Drosophila melanogaster: one gene and its partners. The protein of the gene in region 1 interacts with the protein of each later gene in a pairwise test. Each region holds a gene or a part of one and is shown in the gene's direction. Other genes may lie near its edges. The genes, in order: Hn, cv-c, Nelf-E and CG4116.

The links.
Region 2: the proteins of Hn (region 1) and cv-c interact in a two-hybrid assay, tested with the Drosophila melanogaster proteins (one large-scale study listed by BioGRID).
Region 3: the proteins of Hn (region 1) and Nelf-E interact in a two-hybrid assay, tested with the Drosophila melanogaster proteins (one large-scale study listed by BioGRID).
Region 4: the proteins of Hn (region 1) and CG4116 interact in a two-hybrid assay, tested with the Drosophila melanogaster proteins (one large-scale study listed by BioGRID).

What each region holds. Positions count from the first base shown.
Region 1 is NT_037436.4:7,756,780-7,765,689, forward strand, and holds Hn (henna), read left to right. Parts: upstream 1-3,673; 5' UTR 3,674-3,847; coding exon 3,848-3,877; intron 3,878-4,204; exon of another isoform or gene 4,205-4,498; intron 4,499-4,587; exon of another isoform or gene 4,588-4,768; coding exon of another isoform or gene 4,769-4,783; coding exon 4,784-5,456; intron 5,457-5,514; coding exon 5,515-5,777; intron 5,778-5,842; coding exon 5,843-6,072; intron 6,073-6,132; coding exon 6,133-6,295; 3' UTR 6,296-6,387; downstream 6,388-8,910. Other genes in the region: CG32373 (uncharacterized protein), read left to right, coding at 331-400, 513-808, 874-985, 1,049-1,174, 1,252-1,842, 1,941-2,164, 2,230-2,271; Clk (clock), read right to left, coding at 7,434-8,910.
Region 2 is NT_033777.3:14,477,299-14,485,940, reverse strand, and holds the start of cv-c (crossveinless c), read left to right. Parts: upstream 1-4,227; 5' UTR 4,228-4,361; exon of another isoform or gene 4,362-5,028; 5' UTR 5,029-5,299; intron 5,300-8,642.
Region 3 is NT_037436.4:8,597,537-8,605,031, reverse strand, and holds Nelf-E (negative elongation factor E), read left to right. Parts: upstream 1-4,152; 5' UTR 4,153-4,288; coding exon 4,289-4,369; intron 4,370-4,427; coding exon 4,428-4,945; intron 4,946-5,034; coding exon 5,035-5,201; intron 5,202-5,265; coding exon 5,266-5,342; 3' UTR 5,343-5,590; downstream 5,591-7,495. Other genes in the region: CG5989 (uncharacterized protein), read left to right, coding at 1,035-1,126, 1,177-1,767, 1,829-2,117, 2,179-2,517; RpL14 (ribosomal protein L14), read right to left, coding at 2,729-2,929, 3,190-3,384, 3,617-3,718, 3,995-3,997; CG43078 (uncharacterized protein), read right to left, coding at 6,124-7,495. UniProt on the Drosophila melanogaster protein: Essential component of the NELF complex, a complex that negatively regulates the elongation of transcription by RNA polymerase II by RNA polymerase II. The NELF complex, which acts via an association with the DSIF complex, causes transcriptional pausing.
Region 4 is NC_004354.4:3,064,767-3,072,232, reverse strand, and holds CG4116 (uncharacterized protein), read left to right. Parts: upstream 1-4,670; coding exon 4,671-5,465; 3' UTR 5,466-5,618; downstream 5,619-7,466.

The sequences.
Region 1 (8,910 bases):
TTTTGTAAATAATTATCTTAACAGTGTTTACATCAAACATACATTAAAAGTGTTGAACATGGTAACGGAAAAAAAGTAAAAATACATGTTCATAGATGGCAACTAAAATTAAATACAATTACTAACATCTGTTACTCACAATATTCTAAATATTGTAAATATTATTGCGTTTATTTTTTAATTAATTAAGTGTGTACTTTTAGGCAGACATTTTAATGCAAGTTGGTGACAAGCGCCTCAATGGGAGACACTTGATTAAACAAAACGTTTACTTTCGGCTGATGTTTTCTTAAGTAATCCAATCATGAACATGTTTATATAATTATTGAAATGGTGCAAAACAGAATGTCGACATCAGTGATTGTTTTGTACGCGCTTATGTGTATCGCATTTTCCACAGGTATGTTGTGAATCCATTATAACATAACCATAAGTAAGAAAAATTTCTATTATATACAATTATTTATTTATTTATTTGAATTACATTGATTTTTAATGCATTAATTTTACAGCTTCGTTAAATGATATTCCCGAAATCACCCCCGCAATAGATAACAATTTATCTTTTCAATACGACGATACCTGCTGGACTCCTCCGAGGATTAAAAATGCTAAGGCATCCGTCAAACTTCGCCGAAATGGGGAACATGTCTTTCTTGTGACCTATTATTCCTGCCGCGTCAACTACAAACTCAAACGTGCCAAAGATAATGCACTCTATTGCTCAAATGGTATATGGCTTGGTTTGAAACCCAATTGCATAAAGATTGGTAAAGGAAACACGCATTCAATGAAGCAAAAAAAAATGGTAATGATTTTTTGGAAACTGATCTCTTGATCATAAGATACATTTATAAGTCGTCTTTATTGTAGAGATGCAGGATTGATAATGGTGGTTGCGCTCATATATGTAACAGATCAACTCATAAATGCGAATGCTATGAGGGTTATACACTGAATTCCACCGATTTAAGAAGCTGTAATGGTAGGTACACATTTTTTAATCAATATATCCTTAAGATACACTAAGCTTTATCTTCTGTTTCAGATATCGACGAGTGCAAGGAATCGAATGGCGGCTGCTCTCAAGTTTGCAACAACCTTCCTGGTGAATTCATATGCACCTGTAATAGTGGTTTTGAAATAGACGAAAGTGATGAAAAAACTTGCTTGGGTAAGTACTAAAAAAATTATGTCGAAATCTATAAGCAAAACAAAAAAATACCTATAAATTTACTTACCACCTTCTAGACATTGATGAGTGCGCTGATCCCGAACTATCGTGGGACTGTACGGCTGGATGTAAAAACCTAAATGGAACATACAAATGCCTTCCGTCACTGGTGGGCAGAGTTGAGCCCACCGACGGCGATGGTTTCTCCCCGGGTGAAATAGTGTGCAAGTCCGGATTCAAGCTGTCCGACGATGGCAGTGAGTGTCAGGACATTAACGAATGCGATTTGGCGGATATTGATTCAGATTCTTGGCGAATGACTTACCGTTACTGTGAGCACAAATGCGAGAATACGGTAGGTTCCTATATCTGCCATTGCCCCCAAGGATATCATCTACTCGATGATCAAAATAGTTGTATTTTGGATGGCTCCAAATTACCGCCATCGAAAGACGCGCCTGTCAGTCAGGAAGCACCAAGAAAGGATATATGCCCTTTGTTTAAGGGACCAGCCAACGGAAAGGCTTCTTGCGATAAGTATCTCCAAAATGGCTTCAACTACACTCGTTGCAATATTACCTGCAACGCGGGTTATATCATGCAGGGCTCACAATTTGCGGTTTGTGGACACACCGGACTTTGGTCTAGTCCAGAAGCCAAGTGCGTGGGTAAGTACACATCAATGTACAATGTACAAACAATTTAAGTTAGTGCTATAGGATTTTATAAGACACATTATGTATTTGCTATTGCATCCTATTTCTAGAATCCCTCGCATTGAGTTGTCCAGTTTTGACACCCCCTCGCAATGGACGTTTCTATCCTGCAAGCTGCAATAATGAACCATCCAAATCACTCGCGATTTGTGAACTGTTATGTGATCGAGGCTATTTGCCCAGAATGGACACACAGCTCATTTGTGCGGCACCATGGGGCTGGATCCAAAGAAGATGGCAGGACAATGTGCCACAATATGTGTTTCAGCAATCAGTAAGACTGAGTAACCTAACTATAACACATATTTACATTTTACCTTTACGCATTTAATTTTTTAGGTGAAACAGGACGAGGGCTGCGTGAAGATCGCTCCGCCTTAACCGGATTCCACAAAGCCGTTAATTTATTTTAACATATAAAACGACAAAAAAAATAAAAATAAATTTAACCTACACTCCTGCACTGAAGCGTGCATTGATTTTGTATTGACTATCAGTCTTGGTGTGTAAAAATCAATGAAGATGTAAAACTTTTGACATGTAGAACAGATGTTTAATATTCTCCGCTGAAGACAAATCTTGTAAGCAAACGGTACAGATAGGGCTTGCTTGTTTTTCGGATGTTTAAGCATCGTCATCATAGATCACTCCCATTTCGTCTTGATTTTGGAGTGTATTGAAAGTGGATTATCAATTCGGTCTACATAAAATATTAGCCTTAATACCCTCATTGTCTTCAAAAATGACCTGATTTCTTTGCCTACTTTTGGGCCTAAATCAATGCTTTTTAGGATTGACAAAAAACATATCTAAAAATAGAAATAAGAATATTGAAACATTTTATGTCGGAAGTAAAGACATGGTATAGATATGGTTTATTGCTTTAGCTTTTGTAAGCTCTTGTAATATTACATCAGCTTAAATTTCGGGGTTATCTGTTGACGTGCTTATACCGAGTGAACTCTGAACTTGAAACAATAATAAACCTACTCATAGATTAACAATTACAAGTGGGTACCACAATGTAAGTCACCTAGACTTAAGGAAAGCGTATTACCATTTAAAAGACAAAATCCGACAAAAAGTTCGGGTGAGTGTAACGATTGGACTAATTGATTCCAGTCAATCTGATGTGGACCGCAAGTATAAAAAAAAAACCAAGAGTAGCGCGTGCCAGGCCCACTTGGAGCTATTCACTACTGAAATAATTGCCCTGAAATGCCGTTGAACTCGTTTGGTTAGAACCTGTCATTAGAAAAACACAGCCCAGATTATTCAGTATGATTTTTTGCAAAACAAAGCAAATCTAAAACTAGCTGAAATAATGTTTTGTTAATTTGGACCCCAGCAGAGGGGCGAGTCTTAGCTGATAATATTTCCAAAATACAGTGGAACATGCGAAAAGGAAGTGCTTTGGGTTCTTCAAAAGTAAGAAAACATTGTTTACGATATTATATTTTATCTATAGAAAACTGTGCCTAAGTTCCAGGAACACAGATCTATAACATTCAAAACTGGTTTTTCGAATCAGGCGTTCCTTTTTTTCGTATTTTGAATTATGGATGCTAGACTGTATTTAAGCCTCAACATTTAGATTTGATCGGCTAGACGACGGCTTCTGTAATGAAGCTGAATACTGAAATGGGATTTTAGGCCCATCGAGACACTGGGCACTGATAACCCCGCAGCCGCAGAGCCATAGCCGCGATTGGATCGCATGTGGATGCCGTTCCAAGATCATTTACTCGCCCGATTGCCCGCGATATTATTTGTATTTTTTACTGGTTTCAGTTCGGATTGATTTTCGTTTGGGCTCAGCTATGGGGCCTATCGAAAAGTCTATTTAAGCGCGCGATTCATAGAGAAATTAAATCAGTTTTAATTCGTTTGCTGAACGGATCGTTCGCCATCGGTTTTATTGTACTTATCAGTGGAGAAACCCGAGAATCTTGTGAAAATGTACCAGCGGCAGGTCTCCTTTGATAAGGTTTGTTGCTTCGGCGAGAGTCCTCTGTGCACCCGGTATAGAAAGTGATCCGTAAAATAGCTAATAAATTAAAAACAATAACAAGTTTATTATTCTGCGTTCTCAGCATGAACTTGTCCAACCTTTGAGGAAAAAAAATTCAAATAAAATATAATTTTATTATTTTGATTGAAATGAGAATGCGGATCTATAATGTATAAAACCTGTCATGGAATTGGGTTAGTTCGCAATAGTTCTAGACAAAGGAAAACAGAGTGGTGTCTGGGACTCCTAGTGGTTTATTTTATTTTCGCTCCTAAACAAGTAGTTTATTAATGTGTTTTGTAGAGTAAAACCTGAATTAAGACGTCAGGCGCATATATTGGAAGTAGAAACAGTACAGCTTAATAAGATGTCATATAAATACATTAAGAACAAATAATTCAGCCCTGTTAGAGGACCTTGTTATGGCTCAAGATCTTGCAAAGTATACTACTTGGGAGACCTTCCCACAGATACAGCACACCAAGTTCTAGGCCGAGTCCTTGGCAATATGCGCTGATTGCCATTGCGGTCGGACCTAAACCTTCAATATGGGGGTTCAAGCCAAAACACAAACAATCTCAATGATGCAGATCTGAGGCAAGTACTACAATTACAGTTCGTTGGCTCATATAAGGCTTCGGTTAAATGATTATGCGATTTGGGCCCTGGTAGCCTCTGTAATAGGAGATTTGCTGATAGACATTGCATAGTCATAAGAGCAGAGAAATATTATCTATATTAAATAGTTTGGCTTGACTGCTCGTTTAGCCCAGGTCACTCGGAGTCAATCTGTCAAATTTCCAATGATGCAATGGCTGTTTTCCCAAACAGCAAAAATATAAACCGTAAATATTTTTTAAATTACCAATGAATTTATTACAGCCAACGCGCGTAGAGGATTCGGCTTACATAGTCGAGGGTGTAGATATTAAGGAGGCCAGGAACACCTGTCTTCTGTTTTCGCCCAAGGATTCGTCGTTGTCCAGCGGAGCTTTGGCCAACATTTTGGCCATCTTCAAGAAGCATGACATAAACCTGGTGCATATTGAGTCGCGTTCCTCGCTGCGTGTTCCCGGTTATGAGTTTTTCGTGGAGGCCGATGGAAAATCGGGAGCCTTGGGAAAAGCCATCGAGGATGTGAAGGAGCAGTGTAGCTACTTTAACATCATTTCGCGTGACTACAAGGATAATGCCACGGCTGTGCCCTGGTTCCCGCGGCGTATACGCGATCTGGATCGTTTCGCCAATCAGATTCTGAGCTACGGATCGGAGCTGGATGCCGATCATCCTGGTTTTACCGATCCGGAATACCGCAAGCGTCGCAAGTACTTCGCCGACATTGCCTACAACTACAAGCATGGCGAGCCCTTGCCCCATGTGGATTACACCAAGGAGGAGATCGAGACCTGGGGCATTATCTTCAGGAATCTTACGAAGCTGTATAAGACACATGCCTGTCGCGAGTACAACCACGTCTTTCCCTTGCTGGTGGACAACTGTGGATTCCGAGAGGATAACATTCCCCAGCTGGAGGATGTGTCCAACTTTTTGAGGGGTTAGTTCGATTACTGCCCATTAGATAGAATTCGTAACATTAAATTGCTGCACTTCAGATTGCACAGGTTTCACTCTGCGTCCAGTGGCTGGACTACTCAGCTCTCGGGATTTCCTGGCTGGACTGGCCTTCCGCGTCTTCCACTCCACTCAGTATATCCGACATCCCAGCAAGCCCATGTACACACCGGAACCAGATGTCTGCCACGAGCTGATGGGCCACGTGCCGCTTTTTGCAGATCCAGCTTTTGCCCAATTCAGTCAGGAGATCGGGCTAGCTTCCCTGGGAGCACCCGATGATTACATTGAGAAATTGTCCACCGTAAGTGGCTCTTTGCTCTAGGCTAACAAAGGATAACTGTGTGATGCGTGAATTCTTTCTTTCAGATCTTCTGGTTCACTGTTGAGTACGGCGTGTGCCGCCAGGAGGGTGAGTTGAAGGCGTACGGAGCTGGTCTGCTGTCCTCCTACGGGGAACTGGAGTATTGCCTCACGGACAAGCCGCAGCTGAAGGACTTTGAGCCGGAGGTCACTGGCGTCACCAAGTATCCCATTACTCAGTTCCAGCCTCTGTACTATGTGGCCGATAGTTTCGAAACCGCCAAGGAGAAGACCATGTAAGTTACTAGGCCTAAACATATCTAACGAAAGTGTTAAATAACTTGAATTACTTTTAGTAAATTTGCGAACTCGATTCCCCGACCCTTTGGTGTTCGCTACAATGCCTATACTCAGAGTGTTGAGGTTCTCGACTCGAAGCCCCAGATTTCGAATCTGATGGACAACATTAACTCCGAGTTCCAGATTCTTCAGAATGCCGTTGCCAAGCTGCGCGTCTGAGTAGAATTCATATACATTTTTTACTCCCTCTCTTTACTTACTATTAAGAATGAATCAAATAATAAATAACATGCAATTATGTAAGTTTTTGTAACTGTTTTTTGTTTTGCTTTATTACAACTCTGTATCGATAATGTTCTGGTTTTTTTTTTTGGTTTGGTTAGCATGTTCAATTACATTTTGTTGTTAAGCTCTTTTGAAAAACATATAAACAGTTATGTACAAAATGGGTCTACATTATCCTCATCGTATTTACAGGCTTAAGCAAGTTCTAACGACTCGTCCTATAGGTATGTACAAATCTTAAACATTGAGCTAACTAAAATTATTAAGGTAGTTGTAGTTGAGTTTAAGATAGTTTGTTTCCATTTACAAGTTCTAAGTTTAAAGCATTTGGCTCTTTATCAGCTGCAGATCGAAGCATATTCGAACGAACTTTTCCAACAGTAAAATGGTAATGCAGGGGAAATTGTAATAATGATTGAACTAATGGCATTTCAGCTGTCAGAAAAGATCGGGCCTAAAGAAAACTTATGGGAATATCTTCACAGCAAAATAAATGTCAGTTGCAATCTCAACCTGAGTTATGAGTTATACATACATAATAACACTAAATCGTACGATAAATATCATTTTTGACCTCAATGACGAAGCCCAGTCTTGAAAATAATATGGAATTGAATTAGCTTTGCTCAACTCGTTTGCTTGTTAGTCGCTTCTCAGTATATTAGAATACAAATAACTTAGGATTAGGTTTTAAGGTTCGATTTCGTATCAGAGATCCTTGTTTGCGCCTCGATGGCACTTACTGGATAAGGCTAACCTATGGAAACGATGGGTTCTTGCTACAAACTACAACAATTTAGAACCTACTTACAATGGATTTTTTTTTTTTGAGACCTTTTCTATAGTACACCTATGTTTATGTTATATACAACGCATAATGGGAGCGGGGTGGGACAATACTCAGTCTGTTGAGATCTACAACTAGCTCTGGGCTTCCGATAGATGAGGTTCGATAAAGAGAGCCAGAGGCCAAACTTGATAATACACGGATATGTGGTTATATGGGTTGCCTGGAGTTATACAATTCTATCTTTTCCTATCGCTACAGAGTGTTATATACAGTGGGTATACGCTATTGACTACTGCCTGGGGCTGTGTGTGGCGAGTTGAATAGATTCTGTGATTGCTCTTGGGACATCTGGTATGGCAATATTTCCAGATCGTTTGGCAATTGGTTTTGATTCTGATTCTGACTGTTGAGAAAGGGATTCGAACTGAAGAAGCTATTTGACTGCTGTTGATGCTGCTGCAGGATTTGTTGTTGTTGCTGCTGCTGCTGTTGCTGCTGCACCAGATTGCTGCCGGAAGTGTGCATCATCTTGTTGTCCTCGCTCTGCGTTTCGGAGCCATCATCGCTGATGCCCATGTGAAAGTTGATCGAAGGACTCGATTCGGTGGCCATCTGCATGCAGGACAACAGCGAGTCCTCGTTATTATTTTGCGGAGGATTTGAACTGCGATTGTTGTTGTTCTGGTTGCCATTATTCAGATTACTGCCTCCATTGTAGCTTTGATTGTTGTTATTGCTGCTGGAGTTGAAGGGATTAATGGTGGATTGCGAGCCCAATGAGTGCAGGGGGGACAGATTGAGAAAGGCGTCTATATCATCGATATCCTCACGCAGTAAAATATCATTTTGTTGTTGCAGCTGCAACTGTTGCTGCTGCTGTTGCTGCTGTTGTTGCTGCTGCTGTTGTTGCTGTTGCTGCTGCTGCTGTTGCTGCTGTTGTTGCTGTTGTTGCTGCTGCTGCTGATGTTGCTGCTGGGTATGTTGCTGCAACTGTGAGTGGCTCTGATGTTGCTGCTGGAGATTGTGCTGGTGCTGCGTGTGCAGATTCTGCTGCTGCTGCATCATCATCTGCTGATCCTGCTGGTTAAGCATCTGCTCCGAGTTCAGTGCAAATCCATACTGATTGAATTGCGGCTGCACGGCATTGCTGCCGGTGAAATTCAGTCCACGTTGGCCACTGGCTCCCAAATTACCCACCGCTGCTGCTGTCATGTTGCCAGGTGCGAATCCCATCGACATCATGGGCTGCAGATATGTGTAGCGGGATAGGAGGAGCTGCTCTGATACGATCCTCAGCTCATTCTGTTGCTGGAGGATCAGTTTTTGCAGTTCGTCGTGCTTCCGCTGCAATTGATCCTGCAACTGACTCTGTGTTGGCGTCATAACCACCGTATCGGGCAGCATATCCGTTTGTGACTGCACCGGAAGTGGGGAAAGCACTGGCGCCACCGGAAACGGAGCGATCACTGGCTGCATGGGAATGGCGGTGAGATATTGCGGCGGCTCAAGAAATGTCGGTGCCACCAGTTGGGGACTAGCAAGCGGATAGGCGGGTTGGGGAAACTGACACGCATTTCCAGCCATTATTTGTGTGGACGCAATCGGCAGGAGAGGCACCATTTTCGGAGTACCCACTGTATGTTGCAGCTGCTGTTGCAGTTGCTGGTGCTGCTGATGTTGCTGCTGCTGGTTCTGATGCTGCTGCTGTTGCTGCATGTGATGATGTGACTGATTGTGATGATTTTCTCGATGGTGTTCT
Region 2 (8,642 bases), on another chromosome or scaffold:
AGTTAATGCTGTACCCCTTTCATTAGGTTTGATTTCCATATTGTCATAACCATTCCAAATGTACTGGTCAAATGGTTTCTTTAATCAAAACAACTTGGAATAAGCTTATAATGCTAAAATCTACGAAATATCTAATCTAATCTAATAATAAATACTCTCTTCAATCCAAATAGCGTGCAGTATGTTTTCCAAGTTGGAGTACATTTCCCAACTTGTAAAGTATGAGAAAAAGCAGCATTTTGAATGGGGTTCAATGAGTTTGCTCGGGCGGGCGTAACAAGTACACAAAGGCAAAGGTAAAACCACCGCCGGCAGCAACTGAATGCTGATCGCTGACCCATTTATGCAGATTTCGTTGGCGCAACAATGGCTTGTACCGGCATAACGATTACAATAACAAAGGCAGCCACCGTGCAGTGCAACAAGTACAGTGAAACACCAACACCCTTGTCGCCCTTGTTGGATCTTTGCTGTTGCTTCGGTGTTTCTTTAGAGGCTGCGATGTTGTCGCCGAGAATTTTCGATCATTTGTCATGTTGATTTATATTTGCTCATTGGCATTAAATGCTTAACAAGATTTTCACGCGACTCTTGGACCGCTTGACCCAAAGTTGGTGGCAACCTTGAGCGGTTCAGATCGATTCACTTCCCTTCCTTTGTCTCCTTTAGCCAGCGCAGACCCAACGCAGACCCCATTCCGCATATCGTCCAAAGTTGACACAGCTTTTGCTTTGTTTTGGTACAAAACACTGAGAGAAATATTGCACTTTATTTTATAACAGTACTTAATTGTTAGATGAGCAGATATCCGAAGTAGATAGATGAGTAGATATCTGAAATGTTAAATCTTAAAATCTCAACACTTTTGTTAAAAATTATCTAAGTTGGTTTTTCGAATTTCTTAGCTTTCCTTTGTTTTATTCTTTGTTAGGACTTCCGCTTATTTTATTCAAATCTTATGTACAATATTTATTTTTTACTGGTGTATAGCACTGTATTTTGGGGTAGATATGATCCATATTTGCACAGCGCCTGCCTGAGTCACTCGTTAAGTCGACTCAGCGCGATGTGTCAGTTTATAGGCTGGCTGGCCTGCCGTCTGGCATTTGTAATTGAAGGACCCAAATGACTTATCTCAGACACCCGGCTCTGGGGTCCCCGCTTCCCGGTCAAAACAAACAGCACTTAAAATGTGTTTTCTTGTTTGCCCGCCATGTAACAAGTGGCTGGCAGGCGGAAGTGAACTAGCCAAGGATTCCAAAGGTAAAAGGCAAACACGCGCAGAGACGTGACTACCTGTGGATGGTGAATAGAGCCATAAATACGATCGTTTGTCATAGAACAAGGGTCCTATTCTGCGACTCCCTGGACTTCATGGACACTCCAGGTATCCGCCCATTAATCATGCAATTGTGGCTGCAACCGGCAGCAGATTTCGCGGCAAGGCTCATCAATAAATAATTTGCGGCCAATAGAAATGCAGTGCGTGGGGTGGCGCTTAGATTAATGAAGGCGTCGCGATTAGAATCAATTTGAATTAATGAACATTTATAGCGGCTTTTGGAGCTTGTTTGCATACAAACACGCGCAGCGGGTTGTTTCGGCCTGGCGAAAACAAAACAAATAAAAAAAAAAACGAACAATAAAAACAAAAGACTTAGGCAACGAACTTTGGGCGGCAACGGGTAGTGTTGAGATTTTGGCCAAAATGTTGGACCGCCCGGCTGGTCGACTTGCTTATTAATTTCACATGCCTTGGCCATAATGAAAGGCGATTTTATATGGCCCGGCCGCCTGCCGTCGTTTATAATCAAGTTAAATGCGCGCTCGTCCATAAAAACTCGACTTATCAGCCAAACGGCAAGGCCAACAAATGGCGCAAATGCATTTAGGGGTGTGCGGCAAAATAGGGGGGGGGGGTATTCCGCCCTATCTTCTGCCTATGCCACAAAATCTGCATATTGCACCGTTTGGAGACAGTGCGACCATTAACAGAATGATGTCGCTGAGTGAGTGCAAGAGCGAAGCGAGCATTGCCTTTTTTATGGCACTTTTCACTCGCTTCGGTTTCGGTTTGGTTTTAACTCGGTGCGGCGCATTGCATTATGGAAAATCCCATACAACTTTATTGGCCAGCTTCCCGCTGTGTGCAAATATATAACTCTGTTTATCGCATTTCATACGGCATTATTTATGCCAAAGTGAAAAGTACACGTACAGCGAGAAAATATAACAGGAAAACAACTGCTTTGTAAGTATACAAATTCAAAAGATTGCTTTAAAATTTATGTTTTTATATGATTATTAATAGCATAATAATGTTGAAGAAAAATATAATAATTGACTTCATATTCTAATTAGAGAAAGTGCTGGACTAGGTGCATTTTTTGCAGTGCACTGTCTAAGACAAATTTCACCCGATGCCATTGGCATTGAAAACTATTCAAAATATTTCCGAAAATATCTGCGTGGCATCTTTTTGTTTCTCAATATTTTTGCTTTTGATGTGTTTACCTTTCGTTGGAAATCAAGGGGGCCAGACGCTATCGATCAAGCATGCAGCACATCACACGGCATGGAGTTTCTGAATTGGAATCTGGAGTTCATGAAGGGACTGGGATTCATTCGGAGATTGGGGAGCTCCTCACACGCTCGCTTAGATTTCAACACAATGGGCAGTTTCGATTTCAAAGCCGGCAAGAGAACCCGAGCACGTAGATCGGGTCGGGAATGGTTATGGGTAAATGGGTATATCTCTCTGCGACGTTGATGCGCACCTTCGATAAGGATGAGACCGACCGGCGAACACACCTCAAAACGTTATGAAATGCGGAGGGAACGAGAAGAGAAAACGCAAGAGAAAAGCCAATAGAATGGAAAAATAAGGAGATGGCACAAAAACAGGAAAGAGTTGACACGGCTAATCCTGACGAATTGTTGTTAGCTGTCTTGGTTCATTCAACAATTTGGTCGGAACAAGAGTTCGTTCTCCTCCATAAGAATGATTTATAATTTCACGTGCTTTATTCTTGGACCTTACAAACGTCTTCGGTTTTAATATTTATTAACTAAGCACCACCAATTAGCTGCAACTAATTAACTGCCAGTTAGAGGTGTTTATATGATTTTTTTCCTCTTATCTTATACTCCTACAAATTATTAATGGTATTCAAAAGGCTCATTATGCCATTAACTTTATGGTTTTCAAACTGTGGTCATATCTGTATTTTTAACTAAATTACAGACTTGAAGGATTTTAAATTAAAAGTTTAGCTATCTAATTAGATAATTATTCATTTACACAAATCGTAGAACTCTGCTAACCGGTTATTGAGTATTTTATTGCACTTGAAACGTAAGTTGCTTTAAATCATGATTATATTATGATTAGTAATATATAATTTGTTCTTCTGACTAGGAACATTAGTTTTGTTTTAGTAGGTTACAAAAGTAAAGTGATTAAATAGTCCACAGCTCACTTGTGAGTTTTTCATTATCATTATATACAGTTAGTTTGTCTCGCTTTCGTTTTGGTTCACACAATTTTATGGGTGAAAAAGTGTTAAGCCAATGCAGGCGCTAATCAAATTGAGACAACGAAAGTGTTAAGTCGACTTCCAGGAATCGGGCTATTAAATGAGCGTTGGGCCATAAATCTGCAGATAAGACAATGCCCCACTGATAAGAACTAAGGGAGATGCCAGTCGATAAAGCCTGAAAGAGGCTGCACAAAGATGAGGCCCGGGTCATAAAATCAGAAACCCAAACACACTAAATAAGCCATAGAGAAGACTAACATGGGATTTTATCACCGCTTGTTAGTGTAAATTTACAAACACATTCGAATGGGTGTGTAAGAGCTACAAATACATCCATATGCTTGGAGTTTTTCCAACTGTTTTTACTTTCAATAAACAATTCTAGGGGATTTCCTCTCGAACTGCAACATGCTTGAGGTCGTTTGAGATCGCTCCGATCGGCTCGAATTGAGCTGTTGGCGCAGTTTGAGCGCAACATGTTGCTCTCTTCATAATTCTTGCTGTTAGCTCGCTCTGTTAACCGGTAATCGCGGGTCTCGCGCATGTTAACTCCATGTGAACAGCAAGCGAACGTTTTGAGTTCCCATAGAAATAGCGTCTGTTAACCGCTAAAACGCTGTATCTTAACATTTCCATTGAAAACAAAGCGGGTAAGCAGGGTGATCCAACCACGAGTTTGTTGGATACAACAGTTGGGTTTCCACCTCGACCGGGAAAAGTCGGGCAAATTTAAAGCGCTCCTCTGTTATTCAAATTTTTTAAAAACATACTGAATCCAAAAAACCGTTGTTTATTGGCAGTTCTCAGGTTTTTACGAAAAAGGTGAACATTGAATTTAGGATCCGAAAAAACGTGCGGGTCAAGAGATGTAAATATATTGCAAAATACTGCATCAAGTGTTAATAATCATTTTCAGAAACATAAGCTAAAAAACTGTGAGTGCGTGACATCGTGTGTTTTGGATACGTTTTATGAATGAGCGCGGGTGTGAACGAATTTTTCGGAGTCAACAACAAATAACGAACGCGATAAACAGAGGCACACTCACACAACCGCGATTAAAAAGGCACTCTCCATTAAACAATAAAGAAATCTCTTGTTTTTCGAAAAGCAAATAGAAAATACGAAAATGTAGCGCGGAAATTGCAGTGCCAAAGAAAACAAACGCATCGTTTGTTGGGCTTGAATTTCGCACGGTTTTAACACTTCCCATAATAAAAAATAAACATCTTTCGAAACCAGAAAAGTAAAAATAAAAACTGCGTGCAGAAAAATATATAAAATTAAATAGTGCATAAAAATCGGTTTTCTTTGCGGTTCGGTTCCGTTTTTGTTTATTTGTAGTGTGCGTGTGTTTCTGTTTCCCCCTTTCTATCTCTATCCCTGTCTCTTTCTCTGCCTCACCGCCCGTCTCTTTCTCTCTTTCGAGTAAGAGAACGCGTGCTTTTGTTTTCGATTACGTTTACTACATTTTTTGTACGCCCCATAGAAAAAAACATGACGAAATGTTGTTGTTGAAAACGAGAAATAAATACAAGTGATTCAGAAAAATAAAAAAATAAACGAAACAACGAAAATAAAAGAGAAATTACACATCTGATTTATACGAAAAGAAAAGTTCTGTGAAGCAATATACGAAAGTAAAATTCTATTTGGTGTTTATAGAATCTCCGATGGTGTTGTGAAATCAAAGAAATAAAGAAAACCCAAAGCTACAGATACTCTCTTCGCGAGCAGCAACCGCAAACGCATCTAAAAAGGTAAATAGAGCTTCGGGACCCCATGTCGCTTATCTTCGGGGTAGGATAAACAATCCATCCAGCTTATCTGCAGGTCCATAAAGATCTGCAGATCTCGAGAAATCCAGACGTCGCTTGTTTATGGGTGGCTTCGGGGCTTCCTAGAACGAAACGTCAGAGTTTTAGATACATCTTGTGATTGTCGCCGGGTTTGCCACTTACTTTCACTCCCCAAAATTTACCTGAGTTTCTCGGTTTTCTAGTCTTTGACTTTGTGGTACAACTTTATCTTGTCAGCTGCGAACTGAAAAAGATAGTGATAACCTAAATAGTATATGTTTACAGTTAGTTAGTCGCTGGCATAATCTACGCGACGCGTTCGAGTTATCTGCGATCGTTTTTATTGGCCTTATACGAGTTCTGATCGGCTTTCTTTACCATTTCCGCTGCTGTTTGAATTGTCAGCGCTTTATTTTGATTCATAAATCATAATCGCTATGTATTGTAGTTTGTTTACACTCTGGTCGAGTGCTGCTTTTTCCCTCCAGCGTTTGTTTTTAATTCATGGGAATAATCACCGAAAAGTGCACAAACAATCCGAATCCGATTTGCATACTTATTGAGAACTCAGCCAAATGGCAGGCGTAGCATTTCCGGTTCTAAAATGCGTCATCGGAGTATGTCGATCGTTTTAACCCCCGAGAAACTGAAACTGGCGACCCGTTTTGTCTACCATAACAACAACTCTTGATACGGCCCGCCCTTTATTATTTTACAGCATAGCCACCTTATATATAGAAACTCGTTTTTCGTTGTTTCTGCCTTTGTTGTTTATACTCCACATACGTACCGATAAGTATGTAAATAAGTTCACAGCGAAACACTTGTGCTGGGTGCTTGATAAAATAGCAAATTTCAGGTAAATAAAACTGAAACAATATTTCGACTGGCCTGGCGTTCTTCATCTTCTGGTTGGGAAAGACCCAAAAAAATTGATAATTCAATGTTTATAAGTTACATGCAGTTAGGATTTTTAATATTATTTCATTTATTTAGATATGAAATTCAAAACATAAACAAAATAAACAAGACATCTCCCATCCTAAAACATCTTCCGTAAAAAACTCGCTTCTGATTTTTAATTAAACAAAACCATGTTACACCCAATCCAGCAGCTTAGAAGCAAATCTCTGCCCAGATTTTCCCTGATTTAGTAAAATCGCTTTCCCCTTGTTCGGCAGCTCGCAAACATTTATCAGGCGGGGCAGGTTCATCAATTTCGTGTGTGATAAATGTCGTACAAGAATTTACACAAATATGTATGCATGTCTCTATGTCTCTGCTCCAGCTGCCGGGTACAAGCTGAGTTGACAAAATGATTTGTTTGGGCGCCCCATGTTTTGTCTTATTGTCGCCAACCCCTCACCAGAGCATCTTCATGATCACCGATCGCTGAGCGCCACCCTGAACTTAAGGCCAGAATCTCGAATCTCGATGCAGATCTCATCTACGGACTGGAGTAACGAAACAGCCACTAATTCCAAACAATGTAAGGCATTATTTATTTTTAACTGAGGTCATCAGCGTAGACATCGTCTATTACAAAAAACGCCCGCCTCTCTCTAGAATTTTTCATCTCATCGTGCTGGGAGCTCCGGTTCTCCGGTTCTACGATTCCCCAGTTCTCAGTGCTCCATTCTCTGTTCTCAGTTTTCCGATCGCTACACAGAAACACAATATGATCGGTTTTAAATCTGATATTATGATTAAATTCAAGCATAAGGAGGAAAATTTTGAAATCTTATAAGATCTATCTGCTCTTTTAAGTAAAAATTTCTTAATTACATAAAGACATGAATAATATTTTACTGAGCACTTCTTTTTTGTGTTATTATTATTATTGTATTAAAACATCGATTTTTTATGTGTACGGTTTTGAGTTCTATAGTGTTGTTCTTATTTCAAACTTAATGTGCTCGGTGCTGTTTTTTGTTCAGCTGTTGAACTCGAACTCTCACCAAATTATGCCACACACACAAACACCCAAACTGATAGTGTGAGAAAGAGAGGGGTAGCATGGCGGGGGAAAGAGAAGCCGAGCAGTTTTAGTTGGGTTTACAAAGATCCAAGACCAAAGAGCCAAGACCCAATGCCAGCGGGGCCAGCAAACATTATTTGAAATATTTATGCTTGACTTTTGCGCCTCAATGACTTTTGAATTGCCTTGCCTTTGGCTGCCAGTTTCCACACACACAGCACACACTCACACAACCGCACTACCACACGTGTGCATAAATGTATCTGGATTTTATGTCGGTTCTTAAAGATACGCGCCGATCTTTGTGTATATTTTTACATGCCGGCGCGCACATATGTTGCATCAATGGATGTTTGGGATCTAAGATTCCTAGCCCCACCGGAGAAAACTACACAAACATTAAAGACACATTAACCTGCTTTTAATTTGTCAATATTAGCTGGTCAAAGTCGTTGGTCCGCGCAGAAGAAAGGCCTTTCTCGGGTTCTCAGGCCACACTTTTCATTTCTTTCGGCCATCGTTGGAAAGTGAGGCAACAACTCAGGCCAGCTGAGAAGAAAAAGGCAAAAAGGCAATAACTCTGCACGACAGACCCAGCATGTCTGAATGTCTGAAATGTTGACCTTTTCACAGCTGGAACCATCTCTCACATCATATCGTTTGTGGGGTTCTTTTCGGTCTGGCCGTACAGCATATTAGCCCATTGCTCGGCCGCTTGTCAATTTCTGTCAGTTGCTTGTCAAAAAATTTGTTTGGTTGTAAAAAATGCAGTGAAAACGTTTACAGACCACAGATCACCACCAAAAATAGGAAAACAATCTGAAAAACCGTACACGATTTTCTTGTAAGCCATCCAGAAAATGATTGACGAACCGCACTGACGAGCGCTGACTAACTTACATCTTCGTACAATGTGAATACTTATAGTGCACACTGTGAATTCCCAGTCTCTGGCTGCATAATTAACCTTTTGGCCGGACTTTTGAGAAATGTATGTACATATGTGCTGTAGTACTACACCCGGTCTTTTTGCGTTTGTTTACAGCGTAATTTGTTGATAAATAAATGTGAAAATGCAAACAAATCGGGTGAACAACAACCACCGGGCTACGCAATCGACGTCCGCTGACTAATGGCTCCCCAACTTATCTAGCCCACTCCCTGTTTTTTAAGGTAGTGAGGTATAATATATAATGGAAGGGCTCTGTTCTGTTGGACACGTATGTAGGAACACAAAATATTGGGTTGATTTCTTTTCGGGTATTCCCTTTATTGCCATAACTTGACATTTTGCCAATTTGTCTCGAACTGACACGTCTGCTGCGT
Region 3 (7,495 bases), 840 kb from region 1:
ACACGCGCTAAGTTTTACAATTTCCCGCTGAAGGTCTTGTCGCCCCCTTTTCCGGCCCCGTCCACGCCCCCCGCCCTCGTTCAACACTCCTGTCGACCTGCCAAACAACTAACGCACATTTCCGTTTCCGCTTATGCCACAAAATGGCCAAAAGTGGCCTGGTGATTAGTTACGATTTTTTTCTGTTTGTTTCCTGCCGCTCTAACGCTTAATTTCTCTCCTTGTTGCCGCGCTGGCTCTGGTTTTTATTGCTTTCAATGCCTTTTTTTTTGCTTCTTGATTGCAGACAGCATCTACGAGGCGAAAACAAACAGAACGGCCGCCGCGAGTTTTTTGGCCAACGGAAGGGACTCGAGCAACCGACGCAACAGACGACTCAGGGTGGACTGAAAATCACTTTCTCTTCTCCCGCAGCAGCAGCGCAATTTCTGCAGCCAGCGGAGAGAAAGCCTTTCGCCGTGAAGCAGTGCGCACTGCTTGCTGCACGGTGGGCGCCAGAGATTTGAAATTCTTATCTGGATTTTCAGATTTAGTACATGAAGCAATAATTGAAATTAGTTTCAAACTGATATAATAAATAATGTTTGAATATATACATACAATTTCATACCTTCTATTTTTTAGCCTTAATTTTTGGCCCAGGGAACTTGGCATGCTTCTATTATAATTAAAGAGTTTTACTGCAATGGATATATTCTAAACTATAATGGTTATATTAAACAAATAACAAAGCTAGCAATTTCAAAAACAAAACACTTAACAGACATTTTCGTTAAATATAAATATTTGCTTGGCTGGAACTTTCGTTAAAACTGATAGGTTCGTGCATTCGCTCAGCGGTGGTAAGAACACTCGCTAAACGTGTGAGCAGCTCTGTTTGTGTTCCATCTCTAGTTCAACAGCTGTTCAAATCGAGTAAATCGTAATTGCTCCTTGAATTTTTTTTATTTTTGTGGGCAACTCCTGCATTGGAGTCGGCGGTTGCGTAATAACGCGCCTCTTCCTGGTTTCTGGCTGCCACTTGGAGTTACAGTATGGCGTTGGCGCTGCGCGTTGCCCGATGCGCCGCGATTCCGGCCAACTGTTGGCCCCGCGATCGCCGGCGACTGTTACACCTGTGCAGCAGGTGAGTAGTTGACCCCAATTATCAGTCAGCATTAAAATTCAATTACCCAGCGCCAGCGATAAGAGGCCAACAGCTTTCTGCAGCAGGAACTACGCAACGAAGCCCGAAGCAGCGGTTCCACCACAAATCAAGCGAAATGTGGCCGCCGAGATAACCAGCGTGGGTAAGGTCATCTACGAAACGGGCTGGGATGCCAACAAGCCCATTGAAAAGCCAAAGGTCCGGCCCAGCAGCTCGTCGTCCACACAGCCGACGCCGTCTAAGAAACCCGAAGACGAGAAGCGCAAGGAGCTGGACACTGTGAAATCGAAACGGGATCAGATGCGAGACAATATGCAGGACTACATATTCACCCGGTACTTCAACTATGTGAAGAACTACGACAAAGTGCTCGAAAAGAACTTCCCCAAGGCCATGCAGTTGTACAGGGTGTTCTTCGATGGCGTCAAGGACTTTTTTGGCGACATGAAACGTTTCCTCAAGATTGCCCGCATTGCCAATGATTCGCCTCAAGGCATAAGAGCTTTGAATCGCCAGGAGCTGGAGCTGTACATGCAGATGCCAAGGGACATGATGAAGGTGGCACCAGCTCTGATCGGCTGCTCCCTGCCCATGGTGGGCTATGCGTTCTTTCCCCTCGTGTAAGATATGCCCTACTAAACACTCTTGCAAAATTTGGTATACCGATTTGTTCTTTCGCAGCTTTTATTACCCCCGCTCCTTTCTCACTGCCCATTTCTGGACTCCGCAGCAGCGCTCCGAGTTCCAGAGCTACTACATGAAGCGGCGATTATGCAATAACAAGGACGTCTTTCGCTGCCTGCAGGACAAGCTCAAAGCGACGGCATCGCATCCCAAGCACTCGGCTTTTGCTGACATCCTGGGCCAGCTGGGCAGCGGCACACACCCCACGCCTGAGATGCTCATCGATGTCAAAGACATATTCGCCGAAGGACCATATTCCCTGCTGGGAATGTCGCGGAAGCACGTTGTACGTTTAATCTGACACATTTTATGCAGCCTAAAGCATATCACTAATGCATACGTTCCAGAGAAACCTAGTCAACCTTCATGGACTGCCCAGTAGCATCTTCAAGCGACATCGGCTCCACGAGCACGCCTTCCTGGTGCACTACATGGACCAGGCCATAACCCGCGAGGGTGGCGTTCACAACCTGACACCGGATGCTTTGCGCTACTCCTGCTATCTGCGCGGATTGAATCCCGACAGCCTGAGCAGCGAGGCCATGATCGAGTGGCTGCGGAAGTGGGTCAAGGTGTCCACGTCGATACAAGGCGAACATATCACGCTGTTCCTGCACTTGCCCATCCTGCTGGGCTACAACCATCCCAACAACTGGAAGACCATCTACGGCAAGTGCCCCACTTGAGCGGGGTCCTCTGGTCGTTAGCTATTTGGTAGACTGTGCTTTAAAGATTGGACTGTTAAGATCATTTTGTTTCTTGAGAGCAAATAAAACCGTTAAACCAAAAGAAAGCTGGCAGTGTGCTTGTGTTTTTCCTAAAAATAACACTTTCTTTTATTTTCTCCATGGTGGTGGATGTTCATCAAGCAGTTACTTTCGTTAAAGGTAGTATTTTTTACTTCTTGGCCGCGGCCTTCTTGCCACCCTTGGCCTTCTCGGCACGCAGACGCTCGCGACGATCCTTCTTGAGGACGCGGGGAGTGCCGTCAGCCTTGGTGCGCTTCTTCAGTGTGTTGAAGGCGATGGTCAGCAGCTTGTTGCGCTGACGCTTGGCATAACGCAGCTTGAAGCGGTCAAAGTCGTTCAACGAGGAGCGCTGCAAAAGAAGACAAATTCTCATTAGTACTTGATTTATTCTGAATGTTTATGAAGACGCCTAGCTATGATTGTAATCAGATAAACTAGAATTAGCTTCATATATGTGTCAGCCGGCAATTCCTATCAAGAACTTTCAATTATCATCATGTGCAGTTCAAGGAGGTAATCAACTAGGCAGAGAAGAGGTATAACATTTTCCCCTCTACATAGGTAAACTTTCCTACAGCTACGAATCCTCCTCGTGCTCAGTGTACATACCTTGCAGATGTTCTGTGCCTTGACGGACCAGGGGCTGACCTTCCACTGGGCCTTCAGGTCGCTCTCTGTCCAGGCCTTGCGCACGATGCGCGTGGGCGCGGTGTAGGGGAACTTGATGCGGTACTTGGTCAGATGCAGATTGTTCAATCTGTATTCCTGACGGGGCACGCCAGTCAGAGGACCATCTACCAGAACCTGAAAAGTGAAAAGCCATTAATTAGTTTGGATCACTTTAACCATGTATGGCCATGAAGGGAGGAGTACAGCAACAAATGCTGGTTTTGCTTGCTTGCTTTCAGAGGGTTAAACTAGCTTCATTTATGTGTCAGTTGGCACTTCCTATCAAGAAGACAAATTATCATCATGTGCAAGAGCTCGTCACTTGGCAATTTGTTGCTGTTACTCCACTATGGAATGATGCACTTACTCTGTTTTGGTCAATGACGTCGACAATGGCCACCAGGCGCCCCTTCAGGGGACCGGCGGAGGCCTTGGCAATGCGACCAGTTTGTACGAATCTCTCGAAAGGCTGCAAACAGAGAGAAGTCCATTAAAAATGGGTGAAAATGTTGGATTTCGGTTGTTGCATGGCCAGCGCGTTGCTTGTGTTGGTGACCACCACGTGAACTATTTGAATGTTGGATATCCCATGGTTTTCCAACGCTTTTACGCTGCTTTCGCTATTCACACGTTCAACGCACTGACCCGTTCGCTTGGCCGCCAAATTTAATTCATCTCGGGCCATTTAGACCGCTGAATTTTCACATTTTTCAACCGATCCGCAGAAACCTTCGTCGATTCTTACCATGACGCTAACCGGAAAGAAAGAGAAGGAAAGAACTTTTTTGACAGCTCGGTGGTAGCATGGCGTTAGTGTTGCTAAACACAGAGTTGCATGTGGTCTAGTGTTGTGCAGAAATAGTTAATGTGACAGTAAATCATACACATCTTATGTGGTATTTTTCGCTATCAACTGTTACAGTCACACTAAGCCAATTCGATAGATTTCGATAGTAAAAATAAACATTTTGGAATAACATAATTACTTTTGTAGAAGTTACTTTTTACGGGGTTAATTTCAAGCAGACATTTTCCCAACATGGTTTACATACACTTCCCCAACAATTTAACCGAAGAGGAGCAAATGCTGCAGGCCAAGTATCAGAAACTCAAGAAAAAGGTGGGAAAACTCATGCCACAAATGTGATTATTTATATTAACAAGTTTTTAACCCGTAGAAAAAGGCACTGCAAGCGCACAAGGCGCCCAAGCCGGAGCCGGAGAGCTCCTTGACCTTGAAGCGTCCCACGGATGCGCGAGATGCCCGTGAAGTGGCCAGGAAACTAATCAAAAGCGGCGCCATTCCCGCCATCCAGAAGCAGACCAAGCAAGATCAAACCTCCTTCAAGCGGCCCAAAGGACAGGAAAGAGCCAAGCGCTCCACCTCGGAAACCACTGTTGCCTCCTACCAGCCCTTTTCGTCTACGCAGAACGACGTGGCCCAGGAGACGATCATTAGTGAGATCATTAAGGAGGAGCCGCGTCGACAGAATCTCTACCAACACTTCGCCACCGAGCGGGATCGAGAGGAGCGCGGCATGCCCGAGAAGGTGCCCATGGACACAGCGCAGCCAGAGAAGCCACGGGCCGGCAATACCATCTTCGTGTCCGGCAACAAGGTCACCGAGGATTTCTTAAAAAAGACATTCAACGACTACGGCACCATTGTCAATGTCTCCATGGAGATCGAAAAGAGGTAAGTGAACATGGAAAGTCCATGTTATAGCTTACATATATATTTTCCCAACTGGAGAAATTATAAATTTATCCTGTATGGCCTTGCAGTCGCGGCTTTGTTTCCTTCGCCAAACCCGAGTCGGCAGATCGCGCCATTGCGGAGATTCATGGCAAGAATGTGAATGGCATCAACTTGCAGGTGCAGTTGGCTAGACGCCAGCCCCAGATTGAGCCCATTAACGATGCCTCCTCGTCGGCAGTCTGGTCATCTATTGGTAAGTGCTCAGTGTTTCTCTATAACTTAAAAACGAAATCAAACCTTATGTACTCCCCAAATAGCCGCCAGCAAATCACAAAAGGGTAGCCACAAGGACCACCGCGAGATGGTTCAATACGATGAAGACTTCTTGCTCTAGAGCGCAATAATTAGTTTCTACGTTTAGCTTTCTACTTACTTTATCCCTTAGTAACAGAACACATTTCAGTTTATTTTAAATAATTTTGCTTTATTGAAAATACGCTTCTATATATATGTTCACTTTCTGGCTAAGTACTCGCATTTCAAGTTATAACGTTCAAATGAATTCAATGAAAAAGATTGTATGTTTTGTATATTAATTCCTACGTTTTGATCTAAATTAAACAACAATATGTTTAACAATTGAATCTCTCGCTTTGCCTTACGTGGTAGAAAAGATGAGCAAACAAAATAAGTTCTTATTAGTGGTCCTCGCCCCCTCCTCGCAAGAAACAGAGAACGTCGTATGTATGTACATAGCATGAGTTAAGTAAATAGTTAATACATGATCGTTGCTTCTGTTGCTATGCTCTGCCATATAGATTTCTATATCGTTGGTAGACAACGTTGAAAAATGTTCCCTCTATATTTCTGGTTAGTACAAGTTAGATGTCGGTATGTGTGTGATGATGGGTCATTGAACTGGGATTCTGGTTTCGATTGTTTTGTGTGACTAGTAGCACGGGCACGCCCCTGCCCAACGCCGCCCCCATTGGCGCACCTCATTCCTAAAGTAATTTCTTGTTAGTATCATTAAGGCCTTCAAGTTTCGAGCGGACACCTGGCCGCGTTTAAATTCGTTTCTTCATCCCGCCAAGTATCTTGGCCAGATTCGATGCTCCAAAATGCAATACCGCTCCAAAGGATAACAAAACCAGGATGGGACTGCCCACAGTCCCTCACGTCTGCCTTCCATGATCGTTCCCGGGCGGATTAAAGTAGTCCCAATGATGGGTGTGCACCTGCCGCCCCGTTAACAGGAATACCAAAACTGCGAGCGTGATCGCGATGAAGAGGATCACCAGTGCTGATATATTACGTGTCGCCTGTTGAGGCTCCATTGCTTCACCTCGAACATAGTGCGTCAGCTGGTTGATAATGTTAACCAGTTCCAGGCTGCAGGCGGAGGCAAAATTCCGTCCTGCTTGAGCAACCGTCTTGGGCTGATCGTCGTCGTAGTCTTCATCCAATGGCTGGGTAGCACTGCGGGTACGAGAGCGACGCGATCGCGAGCGTGGTCGCTCCACCAAGTGTTCCTCTGGTTCGGAACCTGATTCCGGTTCGAGGGGTTCCTGGACATGACGACGTCGACATTTGTGCGGTGCCTTTCGCTCGACTGATTTCAAGTCCTCCGCTTCCTCCGCCTCTGCGCTTCGCTGCAGATTAAAGAAGGCTAGTGGGGCCAAGGACTGAAGGTACTCAACACTGGGATAGGCTGTCGGCGGTGGAGGTAGTGGCAACAAACCGGCATCCGTCTGGGTCTGCTCGTCCAGATTGGATGCGGGTGGCACTTGCTCGGTGGTCTTGCTGTGACGAGGTGGCTTAACGGGCAGCTCCTTCTCGGAGGTGGCGGGTTCGCTACTTGCCTGCCGACTAGTCTGGGTTTCAGTGGTAAGCAAAGATGGACGCTGCTCTCGCTGCACCCGCTCCACAATGTCATCAATAAAACCAGGCGGGAGTTCGATATTCTGCACCACCAGTTGTCCGGACTTGCACTGCAGATCGTCTGCTTTGACTTGATTGCCATGCAGTTGCGATACTTGAATCTGACCAGCCTGCAGGGCATGGACGCGCAGACGTTCCACCTCTAATTCGGCCAGGCGACTGGGGAATTGCGGTTCTGGCGCAGATTGCACCGTCTGGATGGGCGTAAGCTCGCGGCTGTACTGTTCGGCTATGGTCAGGGCTGTGGTGGCAATGGTTTCTAGGGCGGTGGTGGACTTGCGACGTGGTGGTGGAAGAGGAGGCTCCTCTGGTTCCTCCTCTTTGTCTCCAAAAGCTGGTTCGGTGGGCAAAGTGGCAACGAATTTTAGCTCAACTTCGGCCTCGGTGGGTTCGCTAGCTGTGGATTTGTGAATGGTTTCCTCAACTTTCTGGGTTTCGGGCTCAGTCGGGGTATGTTCCGTGTCGGATAAAGTGTGCTCCTCCTCGGAGAGAGGCTGTTCACCATCGGATAAGGGATGCTCATCCTCAGATGGGTGATAACCGACCTCGGAGGTGGCTTGCTCCTCTTCAGATTGGTGGTAATCAATCTCGGAAGCAGCCAATTCC
Region 4 (7,466 bases), on another chromosome or scaffold:
TTTTTTCGTTTGCCCACTCTTAAAACTAAATAATTTCGATTGCCCACCTTTTAAAACTAAATAATTTCGTTTGCCCATCCTTTAAAATTCATTTTTAACGTTTGCCCACCCTTTAAAAATAAATTATTTCGTTTGCCCACCCTTTAAAATTTGTTTTTTTCGTTTGCCCACTCTTAAAACTAAATAATTTCGATTGCCCACCTTTTAAAACTAAATAATTTCGTTTGCCCATCCTTTAAAATTCATTTTTAACGTTTGCCCACCCTTTAAAAATAAATTATTTCGTTTGCCCACCCTTTAAAATTTGTTTTTGTCGTTTGCCCACTCTTAAAACTAAATAATTTCGATTGCCCACCTTTTAAAACTAAATAATTTCGTTTGCCCATCCTTTAAAATTCATTTTTAACGTTTGCCCACCCTTTAAAAATAAATTATTTCGTTTGCCCACCCTTTAAAATTTGTTTTTGTCGTTTGCCCACTCTTAAAACTAAATAATTTCGATTGCCCACCTTTTAAAACTAAATAATTTCGTTTGCCCATCCTTTAAAATTCATTTTTAACGTTTGCCCACCCTTTAAAAATAAATTATTTCGTTTGCCCACCCTTTAAAATTTGTTTTTGTCGTTTGCCCACTCTTAAAACTAAATAATTTCGATTGCCCACCTTTTAAAACTAAATAATTTCGTTTGCCCATCCTTTAAAATTCATTTTTAACGTTTGCCCACCCTTTAAAAATAAATTATTTCGTTTGCCCACCCTTTAAAATTTGTTTTTTTCGTTTGCCCACTCTTAAAACTAAATAATTTCGATTGCCCACCTTTTAAAACTAAATAATTTCGTTTGCCCATCCTTTAAAATTCATTTTTAACGTTTGCCCACCCTTTAAAAATAAATTATTTCGTTTGCCCACCCTTTAAAATTTGTTTTTGTCGTTTGCCCACTCTTAAAACTAAATAATTTCGATTGCCCACCTTTTAAAACTAAATAATTTCGTTTGCCCATCCTTTAAAATTCATTTTTAACGTTTGCCCACCCTTTAAAAATAAATTATTTCGTTTGCCCACCCTTTAAAATTTGTTTTTGTCGTTTGCCCACTCTTAAAACTAAATAATTTCGATTGCCCACCTTTTAAAACTAAATAATTTCGTTTGCCCATCCTTTAAAATTCATTTTTAACGTTTGCCCACCCTTTAAAAATAAATTATTTCGTTTGCCCACCCTTTAAAATTTGTTTTTGTCGTTTGCCCACTCTTAAAACTAAATAATTTCGATTGCCCACCTTTTAAAACTAAATAATTTCGTTTGCCCATCCTTTAAAATTTGTTTTTTTCGTTTGCCCACTCTTAAAACTAAATAATTTATTTTTAAAGGGTGGGCAAACGTTAAAAATGAATTTTAAAGGATGGGCAAACGAAATTATTTAGTTTTAAAAGGTGGGCAATCGAAATTATTTAGTTTTAAATGGTGGGCAAACGTTTTTTATTGGAAATTTTTATTTTAAAGAGGTGGGCTAAGGAAATTGGTTGTATTTTAAATGTGGGCAATCGAAAAAAAATTTTTGTTAAAGGTTTTTTAAAGGGTGGGCAAACGATAAAAACTAATAATAATGGTTGGGCAAACGTTTTTTGTTGATAATATTTGGATGGGCAAACGATTTACTCTCTGATTAGACCGAGGTAAACTTAAAAGCCTTATATTTCCTAAAGTATAAATTTTTTCAAAATTCTAAAGGGTGGGCAAACGTGGGCAAACGATGTTATTGCGATTTAAAAAAAAAAAATTTGAAAAAAGCGAAATTTTTGATTTTCGAAAATTTTCGAACTTTTTCGAAAATTCATATCTCAAAAACTGGACGTGGGCAAAAAAAACTAATTGGTGGGCAAACATGGGCAAAAAATGGGCAAACGATTCCAGCTTTCAAATTTCAAAAATTCGATTTTTCCGACCCCAGCTTCTTTGAGCTACAGCTGACGCCAGACACGAGGGCAAAGTCGAATCGTGATGTGATGCCATGTGGGGATCTGTGCATCTTTATTCCCCAATCGAAGGGACTCTGTTCGCATGTCTGCCCAGTTTATCCCTTTGTGTGAAGTTTTCTTTTAAAGGCGGGAGCGGGATGACATGGAATGGCGTCGCCGGGAAATTTCATTAAAACGCGTTCTGAATGAATGCATTTTTTAAAATTCCATTCAAGAGTTAGGCCCCTGATATCCATGTATAAGCCCTATTTTAACTAGTGTTTTTTAGCCTCTTTTTTTTAAAGGTTTCACTGCTATACATTTGAGTTTCTCTGTGCTATTTCACTTATTTTTTTTTTATTTTTGGCACTGCTTTACGCTTGCTAAGTGCCAAGATATCCCTAAGTTTGGCATCAATTATGCAAGTCTGTAATTCCCCCCGATGGTCTGTGCAGTTTTCCAAGCCACTAAGTACACCTACCTCCACTATCCACCCCCCCCTCCCCCCTCCCCAACGTACTTCATCATTCATTTGCAATTTCCATTAAAATGTCATTGAAATTTCACTTACAAAAATTTCCCTTCAAAAACCAAACCGAAGTGGAGCAAAAATAAAAATTGAGTAGACGAAAGAACGGAACTGAGTTTTGTATTGTGGTAGAGAATGAAATCTGGGTAAAAGCGGGAATTGGAGTTGGTTTGGGGAAAACTTTAGCTGGCAATTCTATTGCCAAACGCATTTTGCACTTCAATTGCACGTGCAAATGAAAATGGAAGGGGTGGGCTATTGGTGTGTTGGTGTGTTGCTGGAAAAGTCTGCGAAAAACTGAAAAATTCAAGCCTGTTAATATGCGTAAGTGTGTGGGGCAGGTGGGTGTTGGCTGTTGGATGTCGGATGTTGTGTGGTGGGTTGTGGGTGGTGGTTTGGCAAGTGGGTGGAATCTCCTGCGAGGAGTCCTGGCGTGAAGTTGTCGCTTTATTTTTCTTCTCGGGCTTCTGGTGCTGTCATTGATATGGCATTTTCCCCAACCACCCAAAAGTACCTCTGAGTACCTCCCAACCTCCATCCCATTTTTAGCCTCACCTTCTTTCGTTGTCGTTTTGTCGTCGCCTGTTGTTAATTGTCATTGCGTCGCTTTAAGCCGCTCAGTGGCAGGAAAATGGGAAATGGAAGCCTCACCTTGCGTGTGGGGTGGGGAAAATCGAGAGGTGGTGCCGGATAAAGTGAATCAAGAGGAAGGCCAAGGAGCAGGAAAGACTATCGGACATACTCTTGCCTTGCCGAATGTCACTGCAAATCGTTGAGCAAATTGACAGCTTTTAAGTTGACAAACAAATTATTAAGTATGATCATATTCAATATATTTATTTTCTATACGTTAGTATATATATGATATTACCAGTTCTATTTGAATGCACATCACTATAATACTATCTACTAATATTAGCTTTGAAACTAGTTTAGCCTGCGCATTATAATTCGTGTGGATAGTCCGGTTTAAAGATGATTTTAGGAGCATATGCTTCCCTTCGGTGTGGATGGATAGTTTCTCCCTTAGCCGTTGTTGTTATTGCCACTGTTGCTGTTTTCACGCGCGGTTAGCGCCTGTAATTGCATTGCCAAGTAAAGGACGAACCGCGAACAGTGAGCGACATTCGTATGTGTCTCTACGTTCGTGTGGCGCTCCATGTGTGCGCTGCACTGGCAGAAAACAATTGGTGGTTCTTAAAAGCGGAATTTGGGACATACTATCATCATATATCGCTACAATTACAAAAATATATGCTTAACATGGCTGCCCCTTTCTTTGTTTTTTCTTAGTTTAAGAGCAATCCTTTGTGTTTTTGGCCAGTGTAGTTTTGGTGCGTGTGTGTGAGCGTTGGCGTAAGTGAAATTTATTTCAACAGCCCCCGCCAGGCATTCAGCCCCAAAACTGTCGGTTGGCCAACTTAGGCGAAAAATTGAGAAGCAAGGCACCACCAGCAAGGCAGCATCGCATCAACGGCAAATGAAATGAGGCTGGCAAAAAGGGGGATTCCGGGGGTTAAATGCGCCCCAATAGGGGGCGCCATCTGCGGCACACTGGCGCCAAAGTGATGGAAACCATTCCGAATGCACAATCTCACAGCGGTTGATCCAAAAAAAAAAAAAAAAAGGAGTGAATGAAAATATGCAATTCTCAGAGAGAGAGAGAAAGCGTTAAGTGGGTGCATAAAGGGGCAACAGCGGTTTATGGGTTCAACTTTGTATCGTGCAGAGTATTTGCTCGGCTATAGAGCAGTATTCCGTTGCTAATAGAACCCTTAAAAGGTACAAAAACCAATATACGATTTGGATTTCAAATTCCCATTTATATTATTACCCACTGTGCCCGAAAAAACCCCCAACTGAAGCTGCAAGCAGACGTGTTTCTGTTGCTGATTTTAAATTTTAATTAAAGTGTGGCTCCTTGGTTTTTGGTTTTGGTTTTTGGCTTTGGTTTTGCTTTTCGGTTTCGGCTGCGACCACTTGAGGTTCACGATCCGCGGCAAAGCAAACAATGGCCTACAAGTAGGGGCACTTCTTGACACGCTCTTGCCACTTGAAAAGTCCAACTATTTGGCCTCGGGGCCAGCAAAAATGGTGCGAGAAGAATGAAGAAAGGCTTTCTAAAACCTATAACCTATATATATTGGCAAGCAAAATTCCGGGCATCATGGCATCCATGACCGATGAAAGTCGATTTCCGTCAACTCATGTTGGGCTATAAAAGTGCCAAAGATCTGCCCAATGGCACACACAGTTCGATGGTCCATCGTCCAGAAATGATCTACGCAATTCTAGTGCTCTGTCTGCTGGGCAGTTGTTGCCCAGCAATGGCCCAGAAGGTCGAAAAGGATCCGCTGGCCAAGGAACAAAATACCCGTTTGGCCGGCATCTATGTGAAGGATGGCAACGAAAATGGCCAGCTGAGATTCCTGGCATCGGGCTTGAACAGTGGCAGCAGCAGCACCAGCTCTTCAAACACCGGTATCAACTCGGCCCTGAATCAGTACATAACCAATAAGCAGGATATGCTGGAGCAACTGCGTCCCACTTCGGGCACCACATCAACGGGAACGGGAGCTGTTACGGGCACATCGACGGGAACAACAGGAACGACTTCGGGAACCGGAACTGGCCTGGTCACCACGACTTCCAATGGAGCTATCTATGTGAACCTGGGCAGTTCGGGATCCTCATCATCATCGTCTTCCTCCTCGTCGGCCACCAATGCGGCCATTAATCAGGTCATCTATGGATCCTCGCCAGTTGCCGGTCTCTTGCCGCAGATCGTTGGCCAGGCGGTGTCCAGTCGAGTGCGTCCCGGTGGCCAGAACAATAGGAGGCGCGTTCCCGCCCGTAGGCGCCGGGTCAACAAGAGGCGTGGCAGCATTAACAACAACAATCAGCGACGTCGCCGGCGTGGCAACAAGCGGGGCAAGAATAAGGCCCAGGTGATGGTGGTGCGACCAAATCGCGGTTGAGAAGAGGATCCACCGCCTTTCTTAGTTAAGCGAAAAATTACTTTTTTTTTGCCCCCCAGCCAAGGAATTTTTTTTTTTTTAATGATTACTATTAGTATGCGAGAAGGCAACCTTATTTATTTATTTAAATGATTGAAAGCAATTACACTCTGCAACCAAGGTGGTTTTATTCGAGGTCATTATGGCAAAGGCGTGAAATGGATAATTAAATTTTAGCTTTGGTATAACATGCATATTTCATGGACATCATTGCTCTCACCTTGTGTATGTTTTCCAATCGACCAAATTTGCGATTGCAAAGCCTCAAATTTGTGTAGGCCAGTGGATTTGGCGTAGTTGCACTAATTTATGGGCCAACTGGTGTTCATGTTCAAAGGGCCGCCAGTCGGTGTGTCTGCGAGGTGCGCTGGCCCGTTTAGAACCCCCTTGGTGAGCCCCTGGTCAAGTGCAAGACAAACGGTCTCCGGTCGGCTCTGCATGCGGCGGTCAATGTCTTGATAAATGTCTGCAGGATGGCGCCCGGGGAGTGGCGCCCGTTGCTCCTCGTCCTGGTCAGCAGGACGACCCCTCGTGCGGCGCCGCTGTTCCATTTCGCGAACCTCTAAATCACCGTCACGTGTCCGGGCTGTGTATTATGTGCTCATGACTGTAATGAGCCTGTAAGTGGACCTAATCAGTGTCATAATAATAGAAATTAATCACTGCAAGGCCATAGTGGCATGGGTGGTGAAAAATTGTGGAAAGGGGCGTGGAAGGCAAGAGGCCGAATGGAGGAGGCGTGGGCGCCCACCTGCAGCTGCTGGCAAAAGTCAAAGTTGAACTTGCTGGCATTTGGCTCTTGTGCGGTTTTGTGCAGCGCTTTGGCGCACATACTTTGTAAATGTTTTGCAATGATTTGATTTGAAATTCATTTGAATTATTGCTTGCTTCCGGTTTCCGGTGCCTTCAAAATACTTTCCTGTTTCCTTTCCACCGCCGCCGCCGCCGCCCCCACAAACCCTGGCATAGCCTCTCCCCCATGGTGAGGATATGGAAAAGGACCCTATGATGTACGACCAACTTGGTTGGCCTTCTCTTTTGCGTCTCTTCCTGGGGAGTTTATTAAGTACTGCTGCCAAGCAAGCATACACTGAAACGTGCAGACGACTGAGATTTGATGTAGTGAAATTGGTATGCAATGGTTATTTGTTGTGCTGTTTTAACAGAATTATAATCTATATGCAAAACATACCCCAAAACGCAAGTCCATTTCCATTTCTCCATTTCTCGCAGTGCATTTGCATAGACCAAATAGCAACTGGTGTGTGAGTGTGCGGAACTTTGTTAATATGCAAGTGAATGGACATTTCCGGTACGGACAAAACGTGCCATGTGCCAGGCCAAAAACCGAGAGCCAAGGTCCTGGGCAAGCCCGCGAAACCTTTTGGGGGAAAATCTGTAGTGGGCAGGGGGGAGCCAGGGGTGGGGTCTTACGGTTTAATTGGTGGAGGGGGGGGGGGAGTGATGGTTCGGTGGTTGGTACACAGGTTCTCAGCCCAAGGACATGTGCTGTGCTAAAAGTCAAAATCACCATCCACTGCCCTTGGAAGCACTCACCGGTTCCCTTTGGTCTAGCACATTTCGCTGCCCTACAAAGACGAAACTGAAAAGCTTGGGCTTTAAAATTAGCTAATTTTATATTATATACTATATACTATATTAATATAAAAGAATATATACATACTATGGAGCCGAAGAAGAAGTTAGAGGGCATTCCGAAAGTCGCCTACTTGTGATTAAAAGTTTACTTCTCCTCGGCTCCGCTCATGTGTAATTTTCAATTAAAATGATTTGAGTAGACAACTTTGAACGCTTCTGGCAGTGAGTCTGCCACTGAGTTGGCTTCTGATTTGGACTCGGGGATACGGATAAGGGATACGGGATGCGGATTTTGGACCTCAAGGAAAGGGCCACAAATGCGGGGGAAAATGGAATGCCACAAATACTTTTCGAGGCAGAAAT